Struthio camelus: one gene and its partner. The protein of the gene in region 1 binds, or shares a complex with, the protein of each later gene. Links are inferred from orthologs where the notes say so. Each region holds a gene or a part of one and is shown in the gene's direction. Other genes may lie near its edges.

Region 1 (3,743 bases):
ATAGGACAACTGATCCAGGATATCACGATCCGCGGGATTCACGTTTTGGCTGTGACTCCTGGAAACACCCTATATGTCATCTATAACAAACTAGAGATCCCTTATAGAGCCTAAGCCAGTTCCATCGTCCATAGTCTACCTCCATATGGGACTAAAAAGCAAGGGCCGGGGTTGCAAATGAAAGGGAGCTGGCTTGTATTCAAATGGAAACACCTATGTGGCTGCCAGAGCTGCCTGCAGAGATAAGAGTGGAAAGGGTGCTGGTGTTGGTGCTCAGGAGGCACCCCCTCCTCCCAGGTGCATGGCCCAGCGAGGGTGCCAGGCTGTGGGCACTGGGCCTCCGGCAGATCTGGGCACAGAGGGCAAGTGATGAGCGGCACTGAGTGGCTGCAGGGAACCAAAGCCTAGGCCAGGGCCTTCAGAGAAGCGCTGCTTTCCAGCAGTCCACACTGCATGACTGGTCCCATGCTGAGGACTCTAACTCCAGGCCAGCATCTCTTACCCTTCCAAGCCATGAGTGCTGTCTCCTGGCTGCAGAGCACCTACATGGTGGGGGCACTGCTGCCTGTCCCACTTGCTCTCTGAGCACCCCATGGAAAAGGAAACACTGCTTTGGTGTGCTCTGAGTTCAGCAGCAGCTTCAGATGCAGTTGAAGAGCCGGGAGCAGAGCTGCAGCTCCCTGGCTCGCCTGGCCTGTGCTGGACTCAGTGCACTCTGCTGGACCCCCCTCCATAGGGTCCAGCAAGACCATTCAGCCCCCATGGGGCCAGTGCTCCTGGAGTAACATGGCAACATCTCCCACTGTACAGAAAAAGCGCATGGGAAATGCTACTCCCTTGTCCCCACCATTGCTCCCAGGAAAGGCAGGAGGAAAGGAGAGCAGGAAGCTTCAGAGCCTTGTGCACCGGGGGTCTGTGCAGCCGGGCCTTGCCCTAGGAGCCCGATACTGCCAGGAGCGGGGGGAACTGACCCAGTGCAGCCCAGTCCCACCGTGGCCCAGCCCCTGTTGAGCCCAGCACCAGGACAGCGCAGCCCGAGACCGGCCCCGGCCCCGGCCCCGCCAGCCCCCGTCCTCTGGCCCCGGCCCCGCCCCCCCAAAACCACGTGGTGGCTGCGGGACTCGGCCGGCCGCAGCCCCGCCCCCGGACGCTGACTGGCTGCGCGGCCGTTCATTTGCATGCGGGGTGGGGGGGGGGGAAGGGAGCGCGGGGCAGGACGGGAAGGGCCGGCGTTTGAAGCGCGGGGCGGCAGCGGCGGGGCGCGCGCGCCATGGCGGAGCTGGAGCCTGGGCAGGAGGAGCGGTACCGGAGGTGAGGCGCGGCGCGGCCGGCCGGTCGCGCTCTGTGCGGGTGTCCAGGGCGGCGGTGGCGGGGCCCGGTGCCGCTTGGTGCCGGGGTCGAGCTGGGCGGGGCCGGGGGGAGGCGAGGAGGAGGCCGCGGCCGCGGGGGCGGCGGGGCCTGGTGGCACTTGGTGCCGGGGGCGAGCGGGGCTGGGGAAGGGGCCGGGGCCCCGGGGGCGGCGGCGGGCTCCGCGGGCGGCGGCGGGCTCCGCGCGGTGCCCATGGCGCTTCCCGCAGGCTGGTGAGCGGGGCGAAGGCGGCGGCGGGCGGCGGGGACCTGGAGGAGGCGCTGCGGTTGTTCCGGCTGGCGGCCGCGATCCGCCCCAGCGAGAAGCTGAGTGGCCGCATGCGGCGCGTGGAGGCGGCGCTGGCCGAGGCGGCAGCGGCGGAGGAGGATGGGGAGGAGGAGGAAGGCTTCGTGGACGTGTGCGGCAGCGGACTGCTGCTCTACGGGGAGATGCACGGGAAGCTCTTCCAGCACCAGCGGGAAGGTGTTGCTTTTCTGTACCGCCTGCACCGGGAGGGCAGGCCCGGTGGCATCCTGGCTGATGACATGGGCCTGGGCAAGACCATCCAGATCATCGCCTTCCTCTCAGGCATGTTTGATGCTGACCTTGTCCAGCATGTCCTGCTCATCATGCCCACCACGCTGGTCAGCAGCTGGCTGGCAGAGTTTGCTCGCTGGACCCCTGGCCTGCGCGTCAAGGAGTTCCACGGCACCAGCAAGGCAGAGCGCACCAGGAACCTGGAGAGGGTCCAGAGGAAGAATGGCATTGTTATCACAAGCTACCAGATGCTTATTAACAACTGGAAGCAGCTTGCCAGCAGCCATGAAGAGGAGTTTATCTGGGACTACATCATTCTTGATGAAGCGCATAAAATCAAGTGTCCATCAAACAAAACGACAAAATGTGTGTATGCTATTCCTGCTAAACATCGCCTCCTCCTCACGGGTACCCCAGTGCAAAACAACCTACGGGAAATGTGGTCCTTGTTTGACTTTGCATGCCAAGGCTCTCTCCTAGGAACAGCCAAAACATTTAAAATGGAATATGAGAACCCTATTACGAGGGCAAGGGAGAAGGATGCAACTCTGGGAGAGAAAGCACTGGGCCTTAAGATATCTGAGAATCTAATGACCATTATAAAGCCGTATTTCCTCAGAAGAACTAAAGAAGATATCAAAAAAAACTGCAATGCTGACAAACTGGATGCTCCTCTTCCTGAGGATCCAAGTGAAAATAGTGCTCCTGTCATGCCGTCTCTTACTAGGAAAAATGACTTTGTTGTGTGGGTGTATTTAGCACCAATACAAGAGGAAATCTACAGGAACTTTCTCTCTCTGGATCATTTGAAAGAAGTGCTGATGACTACCCGCTCACCTCTAGCTGAGTTGACTGTCTTGAAGAAGCTGTGTGACCACCCCAGGCTTCTGTCCGCAAGAGCATGTATCCAGCTGGGCTTAGAAGGACATGAATACTCTGAGCAGGATTACAGGAGTGAAACAGGTATACTTGCAGGAGCTAACAAAATAGATCATCTGTCTGAAGAGACTGTGATTCAGGAGTCTGGGAAAATGCTGTTCCTTGTAGGACTTCTAGAAAGGCTGCGAGATGAGGGACACAGAACTCTGGTATTCTCGCAGTCGAGGAAGATGCTAGATATCATAGAGCATGTTTTATCGCGCAGACAATTTAAGATCATGCGTATTGATGGAACAGTAACCCACTTAACAGAACGAGAGAAGCGCATTAGTGCATTTCAGAATGACAAAGACTACTCTGTCTTCTTGCTCACCACGCAAGTCGGCGGCGTTGGTATAACCTTAACCGCAGCTAGCCGAGTGGTGATCTTTGATCCCAGCTGGAATCCAGCTACAGATGCCCAGGCTGTGGACAGAGCTTATAGGATTGGGCAGAAAGAGAATGTAGTAATTTATAGACTGATTACCTGTGGCACCGTGGAAGAGAAAATATATAGGCGACAAGTATTCAAGGACTCATTAATAAGACAGACTACTGGTGACAAAAAGAACCCATTTAGATATTTTTCCAAGCAAGAACTAAGGGAGCTTTTCACATTAGAAGATACTCGAACATCTGCAACTCAGATCCAGCTGCAGTCTCTGCATGCCACTCAACGAAAGACTGATGTACAGCTGGATGAACATATTGCTTATCTGCACTCTCTGGAAATGTTTGGCATTTCTGATCATGACTTAATATATACAAGGGAAATAACTCATGAGGAGCGGGCTGAGAATGAAGAAGCCCATCAGTACATTCAACAGAGGGTGCAGAAAGCCCACGAGCTAGTTCAGTTAGAGTCTCAGCTTAGAGACCAGAGGATGGAGAGAATCAGAAATGCTTCTGAGGGGACATGGCCAAGAGCACCGGAACTGGC
Region 2 (3,743 bases), on another chromosome or scaffold:
CTCTGTTTTATAAATCATTGCAGCCATCAGCCCCACAAATGTGAAGCAAGAAAAAATTCTCTCGTGAAAGTGATGAAGGAAAGAACATAAAATCCTCAAGCCTGGAAGTGAATTAAACAGAGCCTACTGAATTTCTGTTTTTACAAGTACAGGCTGCAGCCTAAAACAGCACCAAATGCCAGCTTTCCTTACCTGGCAATAAGAAACACGAAAGAAGGCTTTCGCATTGCATAAAGGCAGGCAGTGTGCGGAGCAGCACCACTTCCAACCATGCCGCGAGCCTGCCACGGTGTGTCCAGAAGCGCCAGCTCATCAGAAAAATCGCCTTCTGGGTCAAGTCAGCGAGCGCGCGCGTACGGCGAACAAGTGTCATAACTAATGAGCGATTCTTCACACTTTCATCACGCGCTGCCCAAATAACGACATGAGGGATTCCTGGCAGGCGTTACGACATGGGGATTTATTTGAAGGCTTTACAGCCAGCTCCCAGCGCCAGGCCCGGTACGGCCCCTCCGAAAGGCCGCGGCCAGCGAGGGCCGGGACTCCGGGAGCCGCAGGGGCGGCCGCTCTGCCCGCGCCGGCACACACGGCGCCCGTGGGGACTCGCGGCAGGACCCGCGTGGGGCGGCGGGCGGCCGTTTCCCTCAGGTCTCCGCCGGCCGTGGGGGGTGGGGGGGGAGGAGGCGACCGTTGGCCGCGGGGCGGGAGCGGCCGTTGGCCTCACGCGCGCCGCCCCCGGCGGGGCCGCGCGGCCACGTGCTCGCCGCTTCCCGTCGCCGGCCATGGCCACGCGGTGGTGGCCGCCCGCCCGGCGGGGACACCGCCCCCCTTGCCCCCCCACGCCGTCCCCCATCTCCCGCCCGCCCGGTCGCCGCTCGGCCCCCAGCTCGGCGAGCGCAAGCTCACAGCCGCCGCCGCCGCCTGCACGTGCGCGGCCCGCCGCCGCCGCGCGACCGGCGCGGGCTGCCGGGGTGGCGGCCGTGCCGTGCGTGGCTCCCCCACCACCACCACCCCCGGGGGCGGCGGCGGCGGTGCCGGCCTTGCCACTCGCTTCCACGCGGCGGCTGCCGAGGCAGAGCGCGCCGCGTGTCCTTCGGCGTCCCCGGGCCGGGCCCACGTGCGGCAGGGGCGGCGCGGGGGGCCGGGGCCGTGCCCGCCGGCGCTGCTCGCGGCCATGGCGCGCGGCGCGGCGCGGCGCGGCTCGCTCGCGCCCGGCCGTTGGGCTGCCCCCGCGCCGCCGAGTGGGCAGCGCGCGCGCGCGCGCGCGTGCTCGCTCGCGAGGAGCGCGGCGGGGGCGGGCGCGCGCGGGGTCTCCAGTGGGAACCGCGTTCCCTGTGGCAGCGCCGGGGAGGGCGGGGGGTGGGGAAGGAGGGGGGAAGAGGAGGGGGGAGAGCGGCCTGCTCCTCCCCCCTCCCCTCCCGCCTCTGCCCCTGCCCCGGGGCGGCGGGTGGCGCTGGCCGCGGCGGCTTGGGGCTCAGTGTCCTTGTGCGGAAATGACACACGGTCCCGTCACGTCACGCGAGAGCGCAGCGCGCGGACCCTCGCACACAAAGAGCGGGGGGGAAGCGCGGGCACCAGCGGCGGCCGCTCCAGCCGCCCCCGCAGTCCCGGGGCTCCCGTGCCCCCACAGGCAGCCTAGGTAAGTCCCGCCGCCGCTCCCCGGCGCAGTGGCGGGAGGGGCGCCGCTCCGCGCAGCCCTCGGTGGGGAGCGCCGCCCCGGCGACCAGGGGAGGAACGGGGTGGGGGGGGGGGAAGAGCGAGCGGCAGGCCCGGGCCGGCCCCTCCCCCGGCCGCGGCGCGGGGCCCCCGGCGCCGCCGCCCCTCCCCCTGCCCGTGGGGCGCGGGGCGGGCGGCGGGGGAGGCAGGGGGGGCGGGGGGGGACTCTTTGTTCGTTGCTTGGAACGTTGCTATAGCGCTGCGGCTCGGGGCGCGCGGGGGCGCGCGCGCGCTCCCTCCGGGTGCCTCCATCTCCGCGGCGGCGGCGGGGGCGGGGGGGAGGAGTGGAACGGTCACGCCGCCGTCACCTCCAGCCTCACCTTAACCCTCCCTCCTCTGCCCGCGGGCCCCCCTCCCCCCCCCCGCCCGCCACATAGATCCGCCCGGGCAGGGTTCGGACCGGAAGCAGCGGCCGCCACCGCCGCCGCCGCGTCGGGCTCGTGGGTCTGACCGCGGAAGCGGCCCCGGCCGCCGCGTGCGGGGCGCGCGGGGCCGGCGTTACCGCAGCCCCCGCCTCGGGGCGGGGCCGCGGCGCCGCGCGGCGCCGCGGGTGGCTCCCACGTGGCAGGCGCTGGAGCCCGTGGGGCGCCGCCGCGCTTCCCGCTCGGGGCCCGCCGCCCCTCTGTCCCCGCGTGTGCGTGCGTGCGTGCGTGTGTGTGGGGGGGTGGAGGTGGCGGGGCCGGAGCACGTGTCCTCCGCGGGGGTGGGGGTGGGGGGTCCCGCCGGGGCGGAGTGCGACGCTGCGCAGCGCCGGCCCCCGGGAGCCCCAGAGCGGAGCGGGAAGTTGCCTTCGTCCCCCGTAGAGGGCCCGGTGCCGTCCCGGTGCCTGCAAAAGGGGGCGACTCGATGGCATGGGCGGGGATCGCGTCTGACTCGGCGTGAGTGGGTTGTGAGTGCTAGGCAAGTAACAGGGCAGAGGTGATCTCCCTCTGCCGGCGCCCGTCCTCCCCGCGGCAGGGCCGGTTGGCAGCATGCTAGTCGGTATCACAAGTTTCTAGCGTAGCTGACTGCGTGGTTCATCCCCGAGGGACCTTGCGGTGTGTATTTCCCATGATAACAGCTCTGTTCAGAAGCTAAATGGTCTTACATGTGGGCTTCATGGGAACCTTTGGAGCAGCATGTAAGCACGTGCCTTGTGAGAAGTGAGGACTTGGGTCAGACCCTTAGCTGATAAAAACCCTTAGTAACATCGAGCTGATGATTCTGTCATAATTCATCTTGGTTCTTGACCTGCAAAGAGTTGAGGGGACGCGAGAAGGCTGATGCGGAGGAATGGTCTACCTCCACCCAGCTCACCCTGTGCTTTACCCTGCTCTCTCCTGTGGTATGTCTACGCAGTCTTTTGTAAATAGAAGGGAACAAACTCTGAACCAGCAGAATGTGAGCCGGCTGCAGTCCAAGAGCCATGTGACTGCTTCCACATAGCGTTGACGCAGTCCCAGAGCCTTTGGGTTGGAGCGCAGATAGAGCTTGTCACTGGCACCTATAAGAGCAGTATAGGCCTGACGCTTGGGGCAGAGGCATTCAGATCCTTTCCCTACTTTTGCCTAATATCTGGCTGTCAGATTCTCCGTTTACTTTGATGCTTTCAGCTGGTAAAACAATTAGAAATCTATGGTAGTCGATTTTTTCTGTCTCATTAAATCAAGCTCAGCATTTGACTGACAGTACTTTTTTATCTTTGCTAAGTATTTCCATAGCTTGTTACCCAGTGAGTGAAAAATAAAGGAAAGTGTAGTGGAGTTTGAAGGGGATTTTAAATTGTCTGTAGGAAGTTCAAATGGAGCAGTATTTTAAAATAAAGTTGAAGATGAGGAGGGAGAGAACAAAGCATTGAGAAAAACAATGTTCCTAATAGACCGGGGGAAAACACTTAATTGAACAAATTGTAGTTAATGCATTACCTTACATACAGTTTATACATATAGTAGTTAATACATTGCTGAAAATAAACAAATTGCACTGATCATTCACTGCAAGATGAAATTGGTGTTTGGGAAAGTAAGGGGGACAGGTAGGGAAAATTT

Evidence for each region. Proteins that work in one complex are often made in the same cells at the same time.
Region 2: the proteins of ERCC6L (region 1) and BEND3 are in contact, whole or in part, in a crystal structure (PDB 5JNO), measured with the Homo sapiens proteins. The link is inferred for Struthio camelus from reciprocal best matches to the Homo sapiens genes ERCC6L and BEND3. Residues at the interface, in NP_060139.2 of Homo sapiens: Ala10, Glu11, Ala12, Leu13, Ser14, Pro15, Glu16, Ala18, Ala19, Tyr21, Leu22, Arg23, Lys26, Phe51, Pro52, Asn53, Glu54, Lys55; in NP_001073919.1 of Homo sapiens: Glu252, Gln255, Ile256, Gln259, Leu261, Asp265, Arg269, Val272, Gln273, Pro276, Phe279, Ser280, Phe335, Arg338, Phe339, Gln342, Glu346.

The regions. Positions count from the first base shown.
Region 1 is NC_090952.1:1,889,612-1,893,354, forward strand, and holds the start of ERCC6L (DNA excision repair protein ERCC-6-like), read left to right. Parts: upstream 1-1,208; 5' UTR 1,209-1,270; coding exon 1,271-1,311; intron 1,312-1,577; coding exon 1,578-3,743. UniProt on the Homo sapiens protein: DNA helicase that acts as a tension sensor that associates with catenated DNA which is stretched under tension until it is resolved during anaphase. Functions as ATP-dependent DNA translocase. Can promote Holliday junction branch migration (in vitro).
Region 2 is NC_090944.1:58,878,595-58,882,337, reverse strand, and holds the start of BEND3 (BEN domain-containing protein 3), read left to right. Parts: upstream 1-1,372; 5' UTR 1,373-1,639; intron 1,640-2,469; exon of another isoform or gene 2,470-3,040; intron 3,041-3,743. UniProt on the Homo sapiens protein: Transcriptional repressor which associates with the NoRC (nucleolar remodeling complex) complex and plays a key role in repressing rDNA transcription.